Linked DNA regions of Neodiprion lecontei. The main gene of each other region encodes a partner of the protein of the gene in region 2 in a complex. Links are inferred from orthologs where the notes say so. Each region holds a gene or a part of one and is shown on either strand. Other genes may lie near its edges.

What was found. Proteins that work in one complex are often made in the same cells at the same time.
Region 1: exosome complex component RRP40 (region 2) and exosome complex component RRP42 share a complex: the UniProt entries of both Homo sapiens proteins name them as parts of the RNA exosome core complex. The link is inferred for Neodiprion lecontei from reciprocal best matches to the Homo sapiens genes EXOSC3 and EXOSC7.
Region 3: exosome complex component RRP40 (region 2) and exosome complex component RRP46 share a complex: the UniProt entries of both Homo sapiens proteins name them as parts of the RNA exosome core complex. The link is inferred for Neodiprion lecontei from reciprocal best matches to the Homo sapiens genes EXOSC3 and EXOSC5.

What each region holds. Positions count from the first base shown.
Region 1 is NC_060263.1:34,933,839-34,938,613, forward strand, and holds exosome complex component RRP42, read left to right. Parts: upstream 1-1,504; 5' UTR 1,505-1,646; coding exon 1,647-1,703; exon of another isoform or gene 1,704-1,792; intron 1,793-1,893; coding exon 1,894-2,090; intron 2,091-2,165; coding exon 2,166-2,331; intron 2,332-2,445; coding exon 2,446-2,640; intron 2,641-2,956; coding exon 2,957-3,130; intron 3,131-3,207; coding exon 3,208-3,312; 3' UTR 3,313-3,382; downstream 3,383-4,775. Other genes in the region: GON-4-like protein, read right to left, coding at 3,646-3,696, 3,778-3,998, 4,067-4,670, 4,775-4,775. UniProt on the Homo sapiens protein: Non-catalytic component of the RNA exosome complex which has 3'->5' exoribonuclease activity and participates in a multitude of cellular RNA processing and degradation events.
Region 2 is NC_060264.1:3,211,931-3,216,983, forward strand, and holds exosome complex component RRP40, read left to right. Parts: upstream 1-1,796; 5' UTR 1,797-1,833; intron 1,834-1,889; exon of another isoform or gene 1,890-2,154; 5' UTR 2,155-2,159; coding exon 2,160-2,350; intron 2,351-2,629; coding exon 2,630-3,149; 3' UTR 3,150-4,772; downstream 4,773-5,053. UniProt on the Homo sapiens protein: Non-catalytic component of the RNA exosome complex which has 3'->5' exoribonuclease activity and participates in a multitude of cellular RNA processing and degradation events.
Region 3 is NC_060261.1:41,971,511-41,976,563, forward strand, and holds exosome complex component RRP46, read left to right. Parts: upstream 1-1,769; 5' UTR 1,770-1,951; coding exon 1,952-2,060; intron 2,061-2,287; coding exon 2,288-2,401; intron 2,402-2,511; coding exon 2,512-2,633; intron 2,634-2,787; coding exon 2,788-2,931; intron 2,932-3,528; coding exon 3,529-3,711; 3' UTR 3,712-4,392; downstream 4,393-5,053. Other genes in the region: thioredoxin domain-containing protein 11, read right to left, coding at 94-324, 447-657, 1,124-1,335. UniProt on the Homo sapiens protein: Non-catalytic component of the RNA exosome complex which has 3'->5' exoribonuclease activity and participates in a multitude of cellular RNA processing and degradation events.

The sequences.
Region 1 (4,775 bases), on a different chromosome or scaffold from region 2:
CTTGAAGCGTTAAGCTCTTGTAAAGTGCTTGTATTATTTTCAAGATATACCTACATCGTAATGTAAATATGTTCGTCATTTCGTCACAATAATTACCTGCTATGCCAAACTGTTATTTTGCTATTTTTCATCATTTGCCGATTTTTAGAAGTGGTTGAGATGTAAAAATGCAAGAACTTCTTACATATTTCAGTATTAAAACTTTCTTTTAATAATACACATTTACCTTCGGACGATTTGGTTGCTAGTTTTATTAAAGCAATTATGATCATGCATTGTTATAGTCAAAGAATTATGTTACCCAGGAAATCGTATTCGAAAACTTGATTCGTCGAATCTCATTGAAAAAACATTAAGCATTTATCTATTTGAAGGCAATGATTATCATTCCGAAATAATGGTACTATACTGATAACAAATAATCACAATGATAACCATTTGGAAAAAAACGTGAAAATTGAAACAGCTTCGGAAAATTTGAATTATGGCTTTGTACATTGTTATGAATGTTGTATTAAGCTTTAGTATTACATATTGATATTCGTCTTTTTATTTGTACATATTTATTTGCGCTATTTCGGACTAAGACACTTGACTTCATAACATATATACATATAAACCTGCAGGTGTAACGTTTATTGTGTACGAACGTGTAACTTTTATTAGTGTACCGTTTTGTATATTATGTTAATAATTAATATATGTATAATAGTTATGTTTCAGTTTAATGCATCTGTAATATTTTTCACACGAATTCACTCCTTAGCCATTACATCCCATCTACCTATTAATATCTTCGTATACTGCTTAGTTATCATCATCGCCATGCAGATTAAAAATACGTTTCCTCAAAATATGTATCAACATTTAAAGAAATATGCAGATTCTTAAAGCTATGTAACCAACCAAATGAAATAATTAATTTCACTCTTCCGATCACTCATATCCAGTAAACACTGTTATACAACTGGTGATCTCTACAGCGATTAAAACTACTTGCGAAGTAACGTACTTGAAACTGAATTTTTGCGTTATCTTGGTGTCGTTTTGCTGGCGTTTGCGTCGGCGGCAATGTTAATATTGTAACTCTCGTTGGAATTACGTAATAAAATGTGGGTACTTGAGCTTGTGTGGCAAATAAGTGGCGAAAATTAAAATGTTGAGAAAATTATGTTTTGTTGCAAGATGCGGTGTTATTCGTTTAAAATCTGAATCAAGACTGTTTTTGCAAGAATGCTGGTTGACGCAGCAACCTTATTCATGTCCAGACACAAGACGTTTACAAACTTCTTTTATCTGCGATGACTACTAGTTCATTAGAAAAGGGGGTAAGACGGGTGATTTCACCCTTTGTAACATGTCTGAGAAATAGCATCGAATATCGATTAATCGAAGCTGAAAAACATCTGGCGAAAATAAACGATTATTGAGAAAAAAGAATCGATCAACGATCTCGATTGATTGACAAACATCGTCCCTCCCTCCCCGCTGCTCACCAGTAATTATCCGTTGACAACGTGTTTTGGCGTACTCGCGTATTTTTAGGTTATAAAGCTGCTTCTTTTGAAAGATACTGAAGCAGGTTTTTTAATAGAGAATTAATCAGCGACCGCATATGTCTCATCTCGAGTACTGTCCCAATTAGAATGGCGAACACATTGTTGAGCTTAGCTGAAAAAACATTTATAGTGCACGGAGTGGATGTGAGTTGACTCTTTCTATTAGTACTTTCGAATTTAATTGTTGCTTCGATCGTCATTCTCTATTCGAACGATGCCACCCCTTTCGATTTGTACGTGATGGAACATTACTTTGATTCAAAGAATCACGGCACTTTTGATCACACTTTTGAATTTTGGTGAGAAAACCTTAAATCTTGCATATTATTCCTAGGATAACTACCGAACCGATGGCAGAAATAGATCTGAATATCGCCCAATGGAAGTGGAAACAAAAGTCTTACCTCATACTAGTGGTTCGGCTCGTTTACGACTAGCAAATACTGATATTCTAGTCGGTGTTAAAGCTGAGGTTGACACACCCTATCCCGACAACCCTAATGAAGGAAAATTGGAATTCTTTGTTGACTGGTTCGTAATCAGACATAAACTGTTTTTTATCATCCAGATTCGCATTTCTTATGTCAACTGTATTCCAATTTTCAGTTCCGCCAATGCTACACCGGCATTTGAAGGGAAAGGAGGTGACAATTTAGGTACAGAAATAAGCAATACTCTAACGTTAGCTTACCAGTCATCTCATGTTCTTGATTTAACAACACTGTGCATTTTACCTCAGCAAAAGTGTTGGAAATTATATGTTGACGTTTTAGTGAGTATCCAAAGTTGTCTTATTCCTACATTGCTTGGCAAATAAATTAATCTTCATTAGTCCAAGCTTTTCAGTTGAATGAACAAATCTTTAAAATAATCTCACATTCCACAGATTCTTCAATGCGATGGCAATTTATTTGATGCTGTAGCATTAGCGGTTAAGGCTGCATTATACAGTGCACAAATTCCCAAAGTTACAACTGCAACACTTGACGGTGGTAAAGCTGACATTCAATTATCAGACGATCCTTTCGATTGTGTTAAGCTGGATGTTGGTAGTTTTCCTGTTCTGGTTACCCTTTGCAAAGTAAGTTGCAAGTAATCATATGCAATGTATGATATAAATAGATTTACCATGACCAAATTTTAGTTTCCTGTTGTATGATGTGCCCCAGGAATTTTGGGCAAGGAACTAAGCGCAGTGTTCAGACTTTCAAATAGATTCGTTGAGGGCATTGCTTATTAAAGAACTCCTAAAGTGATTTGTGAGTTCTACCAGTTTCACGAATTCCATAAAATAGCTTAAATATTCTTTCCAAGCTTCAATTTCATAGCAGTATATTTGTTTTATTTTTTTTTTTTTTTAAGTTCTTGTAATATGGGGTAATCTGGTAGCTAGTCAGAATTTTACTTTTATACAGATAGGAGAAAATTGTGTAGTTGATCCAACTTCAGAGGAGGAAGAGTGTAGTGCAGCAAGTATAGTTGTCGCCGTAATGCCCAATGGTCGTATAACATCTGTGGTGAAGACGGGATATGGCAGTCTTCAACCCTCGACATTGGTTAAAACATTAGAGGTATGAGATTTCAAATCAATGTCTATTCGTTTTTAGCGCGATCATTTATAAGTGTCTTGAATGATTTAATCTTTCAGCTCGCAAAAGACATTGGAATTAAGTTGAATGCAGGAATTATGAATGCATTGAAGGAGGAGGACGAGTTAGGTTCGCAGAGAGAAATTTTTGGGTTTCTTAAATAAAATTAACATCTAAGAATTGTTTAATATTTTTTATGTACATAAATTATATTTTGAATCAATAAACAAGAAAATAGAAAGTAAAAATAACGTCGCGTATTAATCAAACTTTCGATAAGCGTACAGTTCTAATCACGTCTCGTGAGTTTGATAATAGACACTCCTGAGAATATAAGGATACTGTTGATATAATATAAAGTTTGCAGGTTAGCAAGCTGAGCGGCGTTATTTATTGTTGGAAATCTTGATCCCTTGATACGCGAGTATTACATAGCTGTAACACTGGTATACTTAATTTTCTTTCAACTTCTCATACAGTCCATCTGATTTTTCGCGTCAGGCCATTTTCTCTAACAATGAAAGAAGAATCTCGAACCGTTCTTTAACCTGTGTAAAAAGTTTGATGTATCATCACTTCAATTGCACAGAAAGAAAAATTTCATTCAATTAATTTGCTGATGTACGTACCTGTTGAACAGTTCGATCTCCCAGAGTCTCACTGATTGTTAAAAAAGTATTTTCTGAATATTCCTTCTTGATACATTCTAGTAAAACTGCATCTTCTTGTCTTGTCCATGGCCTAATATCGACAGCGTTCCGGATTTCATGTTCAGGTTCATTGCCTGAATCGCTTGAAACTTCCATCTTCTCAAGCCTCACAGTTTCCTCAGTCTCATATTCGTTTGTACCTGTTTAAATTACATATTCTCATTGAAAAAAAACAGTTACGGGACATACGAGAAATGCAGATACTCACTCATTTTACTTTCTTCTTCAATATCGTGAACCTTGCCACAATCCGGTATTGAATTTTCGTCTTGGCTAGTATCGTCAGTCTGTGACTGCGTTGCATTATCCGTATTCTCCGAATCCAGTATTTTACTTGATTTGACTGTGTTCTTATAGGCGACTTTAGTTCGTTTTGATCTTGAAATATCCTGAGCTTCTCTTTTTTCTGCCCTTTCTTCCCTCTTAGTTTTAATTGGTGACATAGATTCTTTTTTCTCAATCGGATTATCGTTACTACTAAGTCTTGAGCTGATTTCGGTATTTTTAGGAGATTTCTTTCGCTCTCTAGACTTCATTGAAATTTTGTTCATTCGCTTTGACTTAAGTGATGACTTATCCATTTCTTCACTATCTTTAATTGGAGAATTTTTGTTTGCTTTTGCGTCCGTTTGGTCAGGAGAGTTTTTAGATGATTTTCGCTGTCTTTTCGGTGTTGCTGGCACAAATTTTTCGGTAGTCTTTAAGGATACTCGTATGATGTGTTCTTGTTTTTCATCATCTCCTCCGGGAAATGTTATTCTGGCTGGTCTTAAACCTTCTGTCGTCTGAAGATATATCCTTCCATTCAGAAACTGTTGGCAGTCATTGAGGTAAACATCAGATGGGGAATGTAACGTGATTTAAACGAGTTGAATGCGAAAATTAAATTTAAAAAAAATGGGTGTTTCATACTCACT
Region 2 (5,053 bases):
TTTCAGCAGGTGCTTTTCCTCCGTAGTTTCTCTCCTGTTGGTCCCACGCTCTTTTCGCTGCGTTTTCTGAGTTCCTGTGGGTTCAATTGGTCGGGAAAGGGTCATACAAATCAATTCCAAGACGAAAAATTTTTCGGTCAAAAAAAAAGGAAGGTTAACCCGTTTGTATTTTTGGCGAAAATTTTCGCGATTTTGAAAAGTGCTGGAATAAATTCTTTCTGACACTAATCTGACGTAATTTTGCGAGAGAAATCGATTGAGCGCAGTCCCAGGACGCTGCGATCAACGCATCAGAAGTTACGGCCAAAAAACGAGATCCCGTATTTTTGACACTTTTCAGCGCGTGCTTTTTCCTGCGTAGTTTCTCTCCTGTTGGTCCCACGCTCTTTTCGCTGCGTTTTCTGAGTTCCTGTGGGTTCAATTGGTCGGGAAAGGGTCATACAAATCAATTCCAAGACGAAAAATTTTTCGGTCAAAAAAAAAGGAAGGCTAACCCCTTTGTATTTTTGGCGAAAATTATCGCGATTTTGAAAAGTGCAGGAATAAATTCTTTCTGACACTAATCCGACGTAATTTTGCGAGAGAAATCGATTGAGCGCAGTCCCAGGACGCTGCGATCAACGCATCAGAAGTTACAGCCAAAAAACGAGAACCTGTATTTTTGACACTTTTCAGCAGGTGCTTTTTCCTCCGTAGTTTTTCTCCTGTTGGTTCCACGCTCTTTTCGCTGCGTTTTCTGGGTTCTTGGGGGTCCAATTGGTCGGGAAAGGGTCATACAAATCAGTTCCAAGACAAAAAATTTTTCGGTCAAAAAAAAAAGGAAGGTTAACCCCTTTGTATTTTTGGCGAAAAGTTTCGCGATTTTGAAAAGTGCTGGAATAAATTCTTTCAGACACTAATCCGACGTAATTTTGCGAGAGAAATCGATTGAGCGCAGTCCCAGGACGCTGCGATTAACGCATCAGAAGTTACGGCCAAAAAAGAAAGAACCCGTATTTTTGACACTTTTCAGCAGGTGCTTTTTCCTCCGTAGTTTCTCTCCTGTTGGTCCCACGCTCTTTTCGCTGCGTTTTCTGAGTTTCTGGTGGTCCAATTGGTCGGGAAAGGGTCATACAAATCAATTCCAAGACGAAAAATTTTTCGGTAAAAAAAAAAGGAAGGTTAACCCCTTTGTATTTTTGGCGAAAATTATCGCGATTTTGAAAAGTGCTGGAATAAATTCTTTCTGACACTAATCCGACGTAATTTTGCGAGAGAAATCGATTGAGCGCAGTCCCAGGACGCTGCGATCAACGCATCAGAAGTTACAGCCAAAAAACGAGAACCTGTATTTTTGACACTTTTCAGCAGGTGCTTTTTCCTCCGTAGTTTTTCTCCTGTTGGTTCCACGCTCTTTTCGCTGCGTTTTCTGGGTTCTTGGGGGTCCAATTGGTCGGGAAAGGGTCATACAAATCAGTTCCAAGACGGAAAATTTTTCGGTCAAAAAAAAAGGAAGGTTAACCCCTTTGTATTTTTGGCGAAAAGTTTCGCGATTTTGAAAAGTGCTGGAATAAATTCTTTCTGACACTAATCCGACGTAATTTTGCGAGAGAAATCGATTGAGCGCAGTCCCAGGACGCTGCGATCAACGCATCAGAAGTTACAGCCAAAAAACGAGAACCTGTATTTTTGACACTTTTCAGCAGGTGCTTTTTCCTCCGTATTTTCTCTCCTGTTGGTCCCACGCTCTTTTCGCTGCGTTTTCTGAGTTCCTGGTGGTCCAATTGGTCGGGAAAGGGTCATACAAATCAATTCCAAGACGAAAAATTTTTCGGTCAAAAAACGAGGAAAAAAGTAAGGCTAACCCTTTTGTATATTTGATGATAATATTGCCGATTCCAACAAATGGTGAAATCAATTTTTTTGAGCACGACGTCTGTGTCATTTTGCGCGAAGAACAGATTGAGCGCAGTCCGAACAGGTTATGTTAAGCTAGTTAGGTCTGGTACGCAAGGCTCATACTCAACTCTGTCAGGCACGTTTCTACCCATAGTTTCACCGGCCACCCGTGAGATTACATTGATAGATCAGGTTAGAATAGTAAACATAGCCTCTAAATTACTCTCAAAGGCGACACAGACGAGGCTCCCACGCTTATACCATTACCTCTTGCAGTCAGAATGGAAGTAAATATTAAGGATGTTGTGGTTCCTGGCGATGTCGCGGTAGAAATAATGAAATCAAGTGAAAAAGAGCGAGTGATTCTTGGTCCTGGACTGCGTCGCGACTGCGACCGCGTCCTTGTCACCAAAGCTGGTGTACTGAAGAGGCGAAAACCAGCTATATTTTACGTGGATAGCTATCAGAAAAGGTTAATAATATGAAATGTTCTATGTATTGGTCTGTCCAACTCAGCAATAACGTAAGCTGATGCATGTTTATCATATCATTTGATCAATAAATAATATTCTTGCCTGATTCAAGGACTTTTCTTCGTTGCTGTTCCTTTTCGCTTCGATATCGATTAACTGATATTTTTAGAATAATTGTATTTCGAGCCTGTTTACCTTTTACTTATCAACATTATGCTTCTTTGCGGAAACATCTCTTTCGATATGTTCTAAATAACAATTTATTTATTTCATTACAGGTACGTCCCGAACAGAGGGGAGAATGTTGTTGGAATAGTGACGCAGAAGGCTGGGGATATTTACAGAGTTGACATCGGGGCAGGGGAACTGGCATCTCTATCCTACTTGGCTTTTGAAGGAGCAACAAAAAAGAATCGACCTGACATTGTCGTAGGTGACGTGATTTTTGCCAAGCTACTGGTGGCTAGCAAAGGCATGGAACCGGAGTTGATATGCGTCGATTCTCATGGGAAGAAGGGCAAGTTAGGTGTCTTAAGTCCAGATGGGATGCTGTTTGATTGTTCCCTTAGTTTGGCGAGGAAATTGCTTCACCCAAGTTGTCAGCTGTTGACATTGCTTGCCAAAGAACAGGCCTACGAAATCGCCATAGGTATGAATGGAAAGATCTGGATGAAGGCCAGATCAGTCCACGAGACAATAGCGGCTTGCAATGCTATTTTAGCTGCGGAAAACACCCCACCAGCAGAAATGCCAGCCTTGTGTTCGAGTATCGCCCGTAATTTACTCCGAATAAGCTAAGAAAAAGACTAATTCCACAACCCTTGGTGTACATCCAGATATTTTAAGTATTTTATGAAACATGCTTTTTTTTGCAATAAAATCTTCCTTCGATATGAGTGATAATCTACTTAGATTTATTGAAAGCAATAGAGCACACAACAGTCGGCAAAAGATAGTGAGAAAGAATACTCTGTAAGTTAGAATGTAGTTTTTGGAGACAATTTTTTATTAAAGAATATAATACTTTAATACCATCATCGTTTGAGAAGATGAAGACAAAGGACGTAAACAAGGAAAGTAGATGGGCAGGGTACAATATTGAGTGGTTACTATTTTAAAATTAATTATTATTCATCACGTCTATTTGGTTGCAAGTCGTATGTGTGTGCTCTAATTTCTACACGTATTCCAAGTGTTCCTACTCATATTATAACAGTACTATCCTACTTAGTATCCTAGTATACTTCGTTTCACACCCCATTCATTGTTAAGCTACAGAAATTATGATCTCCATACACAAGTGTAATCAATATTTTTCAATTTCACAAATTTTATTGGTAATTTGCTATTAATTTACTGTATATAGTAATATTACGTTAATAATGCACGTCAAGAAGTTTGTCCAGCATTGAAAAAAAGTTGACGTTACAAATTCCAACAAACTTTCCACCGAAATTGAGAAATTAAATCTTGGTAAGAACGCGAAGAATTTAACGTCAAAAATCATTTGAGTAACAGCAGCCAGTCCAACGTTACGCTTGACCATAGATCAAAACGTTATTGGTAAAGAATATTATTATATTACCGCAATTTTCTAATTCAAATTAGTATAATCATAACGATTTCTCATTGCTGGGCAATTAATTGTAATCAAAGTATATGTATACTGGGTTCTTAAAATTTTGTTCAATTTTTTAGTGTGATGAAATAGATAATTTGAGTACAGTAGTCACAATAGGGTATAAGGTAGATTAATGGTTAATATTCAATGTGTAGTAGAATAGTATAGCATAGCAATAGTATATTATACGTGTATGTATATAAATAAAGTAATAGCGTTACGTAAATAGTAGAGCCAGGTCAACTTCAGAACTTCTCGAGCTTAGGTTTTGGATGAAGACTTGCGTTTGGACAATAATCGATGTTCCAGAAGAAACTGTCAAGCTAATTACAGGGTGAAGGATTTTAGAAGTGTATATATGGTATAGTCATTAACGTCCGTTAATGATGATCGATCAACGATCAAGCTCTAGATAATATTTACTTATTCAACGAGGCTACTGTATCTTGCATGCAATTTATTCTATCAATTGATAACATGTTTTGCATCCGCGACAAAAATATGAAGATAGAAAATCACGTCGAACAAGCGATATGTTGTAAAGAATTTGATTCAATCTGGTATTAACTGAAGTCAAAACTGGCTCTAATAATTATCATTTCATAATTTTATCATCAAGCTCAAGAGGCCTCAACAAGAGACTCTGAAACCTTACTTCACGTTTCAAATAACTGTCAGGCGGAAACTCTTCCCGCAAAACGGACTGAAATGAATGAAATTTTTCTCAGGAGTGCATTAAGATAATCGTGGTCTGTATATCCAATAATATATTGTATCACGGCGTGATAAATTTATTCAAAGCTTGATCGCAAAAATATCGAAAGCAGTCAAAGGGCTTTACATTTCGTTACTTGACCGATAGACCTATTTATTGCGCCACTAATCTGGAACTTACAATTTAGCGAACCAATCGAGTCTGCTTGTCTCTTGAAACATTTTTTTCTTACAACAATATCATTGTACACGATAAATTTCTCTATTTTCTTATGGCATACGATACCTCTTCAGAAGCCTCTTAAAGCCGTTTGTAGCCCTTTAATTTGAATACTTTATTACTGTTAAACAATATTATTACAATTAC
Region 3 (5,053 bases), on a different chromosome or scaffold from region 2:
AACAATAAACATGTAGAGGTCGCAACCCAGATTGAACAGAAAGAGAGAGAGAGAGAGAGAGAGGGACAGAGGGAGAAACGTAATCAAACCTACGTCATAGTCTACAATCAGGTTCAGGAGCTGATTTCTGTCTGTTATTCTGAATATTGGGTTCATAAATGCGTGGAGGAAGCGTATCATGTACGGTGCAGTACGAATACCTCTGTACTGAACACCAGGTCCTCGCCTAGGATAGAGCATAAAAACTGGGTAGCTCTGAATCTTGCTGTATTCAGCCCGGCATTCTGAACCCGGGTGCCAGCAATTAATGGCTGCAAAAAATATCTGAAAATTAACAAATTAAAGTTAGTGTGGTTTCCACAAGTTTTTGTAGTAATGTCAAAGGCAAGAAGCAATAATTGAATAACGATTTATGTATAGAACTTAGTAAATGAATTAATGAGAACCTGTTTGTGGTAAAAACGTGCCACAGTTTCAAACTCTTGTCTAACGGCTTGACTCTCGGCATCCCATGGTGCGTAGTACATAACAAAACTGAGATCTGCATCTGTGACTCTTTCAATAGCGGCGCCTAAATGACCTTTGTAAAAATCCAAAACAAGCGAGCTTTGGTTAAAGAATGGCCGAGCTGAAGGAGGTTGTGACACTTTTGGTGGCCTGTAAATACATTCAAAGTTGAGAATTCGCTATTAAACTAGTTGTTTATCAGATACGTTATACATGTATTTAATCAACTAAAAAAATCTATGAGAGATCATGTTTTACAATTAAATGCAGTCAAGGTTTCATTTGATGTTTTTGAAAGTAATATTTGAGAATTTTACCGGTTTTTATTGAACATTGATTTCTATAGTTTGACTCCGCTTGCAAGTAACGATATTTGACACTTCCTAAATTTGATTCGGATCATACATATTCAAAAATATCAGTAATAGAACGCCGTTGTAAAATAGTGTTGTTAAAGAATATCCAAAGGTAAAATGAATGTTGAAAAATAATTTCTTCTACAATGTAATTCATGATATTGGCATTTGATTTTTTTTACAATATGCTAGATGATTAAAAAACGTAGAATTATTGAGGTGAGTTGGCGGATAACCTTAACTATTTTTAAAAAACTTACGAAGTGTGAAGAGCAGCTAAGGTGGTGAATAATATTGCAGCAAAGAAACATAATTCTTTGCCATAGTGTAACATTTTCGAGGCTAATCGTTCTTCTAGTGCGGAGCTCGTTGCGAGTGATGTTTGGACCACGTTATCACTTCCTGAATCATTGGTCGGCCGCAAATTATCACCATTTCTTTGCGGACTTGTGTCGCGTTCTCCACTGGTCATTATCCTCGAAATTAAGGAAATAACGAAGGTCCGACGGGGGGATGATTGCCGTCAAATTTTCGTCACGTATCGCGTCATCACTCGGGCCTACTTATCTTTTCATGGGGATTATATTAACTGAATTACAAACGATTAATAAACTCGCGCCCCAAGGTCCACACATATGTCACCTGTGCTCCATCTTTTTCTCCCCGGTGAACAGCTGACCGCTTAAATCCACTCGTCTTAAACGACATTAGTGTACAAGTATCGAAATTTCATCTCCAATTAAATTGAACTTATAGAATGTCCTTATACATTTTCAGGGTTATTACAATACGTCTGCTTCCGAATCGCACGTGGCTTATTTTTTATAAATAACGTTTTGACTTGAATCGGCTGCTAAACTGTCATGGAATTTTTTGATACTCTGCAGTTGGCACCCTGCACATCTTTCCGCTATATCTAGGGATATCCTGACGTGGACCAATGAAAAGCCGCGACGCCGAGTTTCTGGATATCCCCATGTCGTACATCTCATGAGCTTTAACTCTGGCGTCGATGCAACGCGTGTCTTCCATTTGTCTGCTCCTAACCTAGTTCAAATTGGAGCGGCGAAGATAGAAAACGAATTGAAATGCAAAACCAATTGGAAACTACGGAGGAAGAGGAGTGCGTTTTGAGACCGATGAACTGTGAATTAAATCAGCTGAGCAGACCGGATGGTTCGGCAATGTTTATGCAAGGTAACTAATTCGTGTGAACGGTCGTTTGTTTTCATAGCGTGAGTTCCCATTTATTTTGTTTATTTTTTATGTTAGCTATCATCACATAAACATCCAGATTTTACATACCTAGTTTCCTAGATTCACATATTCCAATTTTTCAAATTTATTGCACGGCTCTTTTGTGGTATCTAATATGTACATACCATAATTCTGAACTGATGGTGTTTTCAAATGATCGATTCCAGGTGACACCGTCGTTGTTGCCGGAGTTTATGGACCAATTGAAGCGAAGCTACAAAAGATGATGCACGACAGAGCGACCGTTGAAACAATGTTTAGTCCTGCAAAAGGACCACCGTGTAAGTATTTCTTGACTGCCGACAATCCTGATATTTTGATTATAGCTCTTTAACAGATTATTTCGCTTGTTACGTGATTTAACATTTTGATAATTATTCTGTATTTTAAGGTGTCGACGACAGAGCGAAGGAAACTGTCATCAGGGAAACGTGCGAGGCTGTACTGCTGACTGCGTTGCACCCTGGCATGGCAATAAGCATAAATGTACAAGAACTGCAGGATTCTGGAGGAGTTGGTATTTTTATTGATTAAGTGTTGTACAATACAATTCTATCACTTCACTTTATCGGTTCATTACAAAACAATCGATTCCACTTTACTTCCACTTTTCGTTGTGTCTTTTATTAAAAGAGATAATACTCACGTGTTACGTACAATTTTGCAGTTACTCGCCTGTGCCATTAATGCTGCTTGCCTGGCGCTCATAATCTCCAGTATTTCTATGAAATTCACTGTCGCTGCTGTATCCTGCATGATTGACCGCGAGTCCGGCAAACTGATTGTAGATCCTGATAGCACGCAAATACAGGTTTCTAAAACTTATATTTATATATTTGAAATATTTCAAGTAAAATTCATATTCTTTCACACATTTATAAGTATTAAATGCTATTGGTATTTTCTTTTTTTGCCCAGTTTGAACTATTTGGAAATAATCTAACTTTCTACAACTAGAACCTTAGGTTGAATTTTCAAGTAAAGCCTTAATCGCTAATTTTGATCAAATTGTTTTTGTGCTCTGTCAACAAATTTTAAGGAGAGACGAGAAAGATCACAACTTTCTTCATGTATTGTCCTTTATATGTTTCTAAATGTTAATCAGAGCAGAAATGACAAACCAGCGAATTTTGTCTAATTTTACTTTCTGAGTCTCAGAACACCTAGTTGAGTCAATTTCGTAATTCAAAAGTGTGGTATTTGTTTTAAATATTACCTTCATGTATAAATATTTCCTTTAATCCGAACTTTATGGAGTTATAATTTTGAAGTATGAGCATTAGTTTTGAAGGACGCTGGGCCTAAAACAACAAAAAATGACGTATTATTATTGTTACTTTGTTTCAATTCCTTTCAATTACTTATCATACGTAATTCTAATATATTTGATAATAATTGAAAATTGCAGCAGGCACGGGTCACGTTCACGTATGTTTTCGAGGGTATAAAAAAGGACTTGGTGTCTTGCCACACAACTGGTCGATTCTCGGAGAACGAGCTGATGGAATCTCTAGAAAAGTGTCGAGCAGCAAGCCAGAACATCTTCGATTTTTATAGAAACATAGTTGAACAATACGCGATTAAATTATGAGCATATTTGCATGCGATAAATTTATCGACGTCGAATTCGCACCCGTAAATTGCTGAAAAATCCAATGATTCAATTCTATAACTAGCACTTTACGTATATTTCCGAGCAGTGGGAGATCGATTGTATGTATATAAAAATAATTAGGCGGTGGTATACTCGATCCGTTTCGAGCTGAGGAATTTAATAACACCGGTTAAAACGGCCTCCGCGGTGCAGGTGATTCGGTACAGCGAAATAGCGATCGTAACTTTGATTCCATTAAATACAATAAGGCTACCAGGAATACTGACTGAACTACGTTTAGCCGCGAGGTTTCCCCCCGGGGGCCCGAAGCTGCGGCGCAGTCTTGCTGACCATTAACAAGAAGCGAAGCAATTTATGGTACGGTTCGCTCATTCCCACTTTATTATTTCTCGTCGTAGCTGAGTAGATGTTTCTCTGCTGCAGTCGCCGGTTTCGTTTTGCTTACCGAACAGCCAGATACAGCGTCAGCTTACAGACATCCTGGCGAGATGCTTCGCATCGAAATTCTGCAAACCTTTCTCATCTTGAGGCTTCCTCATTAACGTGATTTGAATGTGTGTATATATATATATACATTTATTTTAAGCCTGAAGATAATTGATGACGTTCATGTGCGTCGATGTCATATATTTCATAATAAACTGTTTTTCACTTTAACAATGAGATTCCCTTTGTTCCACTACGTTAAATGGCATTTTGAATTTCAGGGTTTCGTAAAATATTTTAACGCAAAATTGCATCTTGGACTGACAAGACTCTGACTTGATATAGTTAAGAAATGAGCTTTCATCGGTTTTTTTTTTATCTTCCGCGAGAAATAATTATCATTATTCTTTTAACGTCTTCAAGATTCCAAGCATCTTCTTACCATTTTCTAAAAGCGCATTTTTAATAATTCTCTTCATGACGTTCTCCATGACGTCAGGCGGTCTCTGACAAATGGGAGACAAGGGATAGTTGCGAGCACTTTGAAGAAGCAGCGAAGCTTTTCTCGTCTCCCGGAAGGTTGCACTGGCACGACATATGTCGTCAGAAATGCTGTATCCAATTGTATGACAGTTTGTTTAGAAAATCCACAGTAATTATCAATAACGGTATCTTCCGAAAAAAATGAAAAGGCTTTCCTCGGAATAATTATTTTTATTTCTTTTCTGAATCGATACTATTGGAAAATAAAATAAAAAAATACTAATTTGCATACGTATTTCGCTGTCGCATGGAAAGACACAATTACGTGTAATTTTCCACCTAATTAAAAATACCATTTTCGGCTGTTAACGACAAAAGTGAGTGGGGGGGGGGGTAAATGACGAGTTCG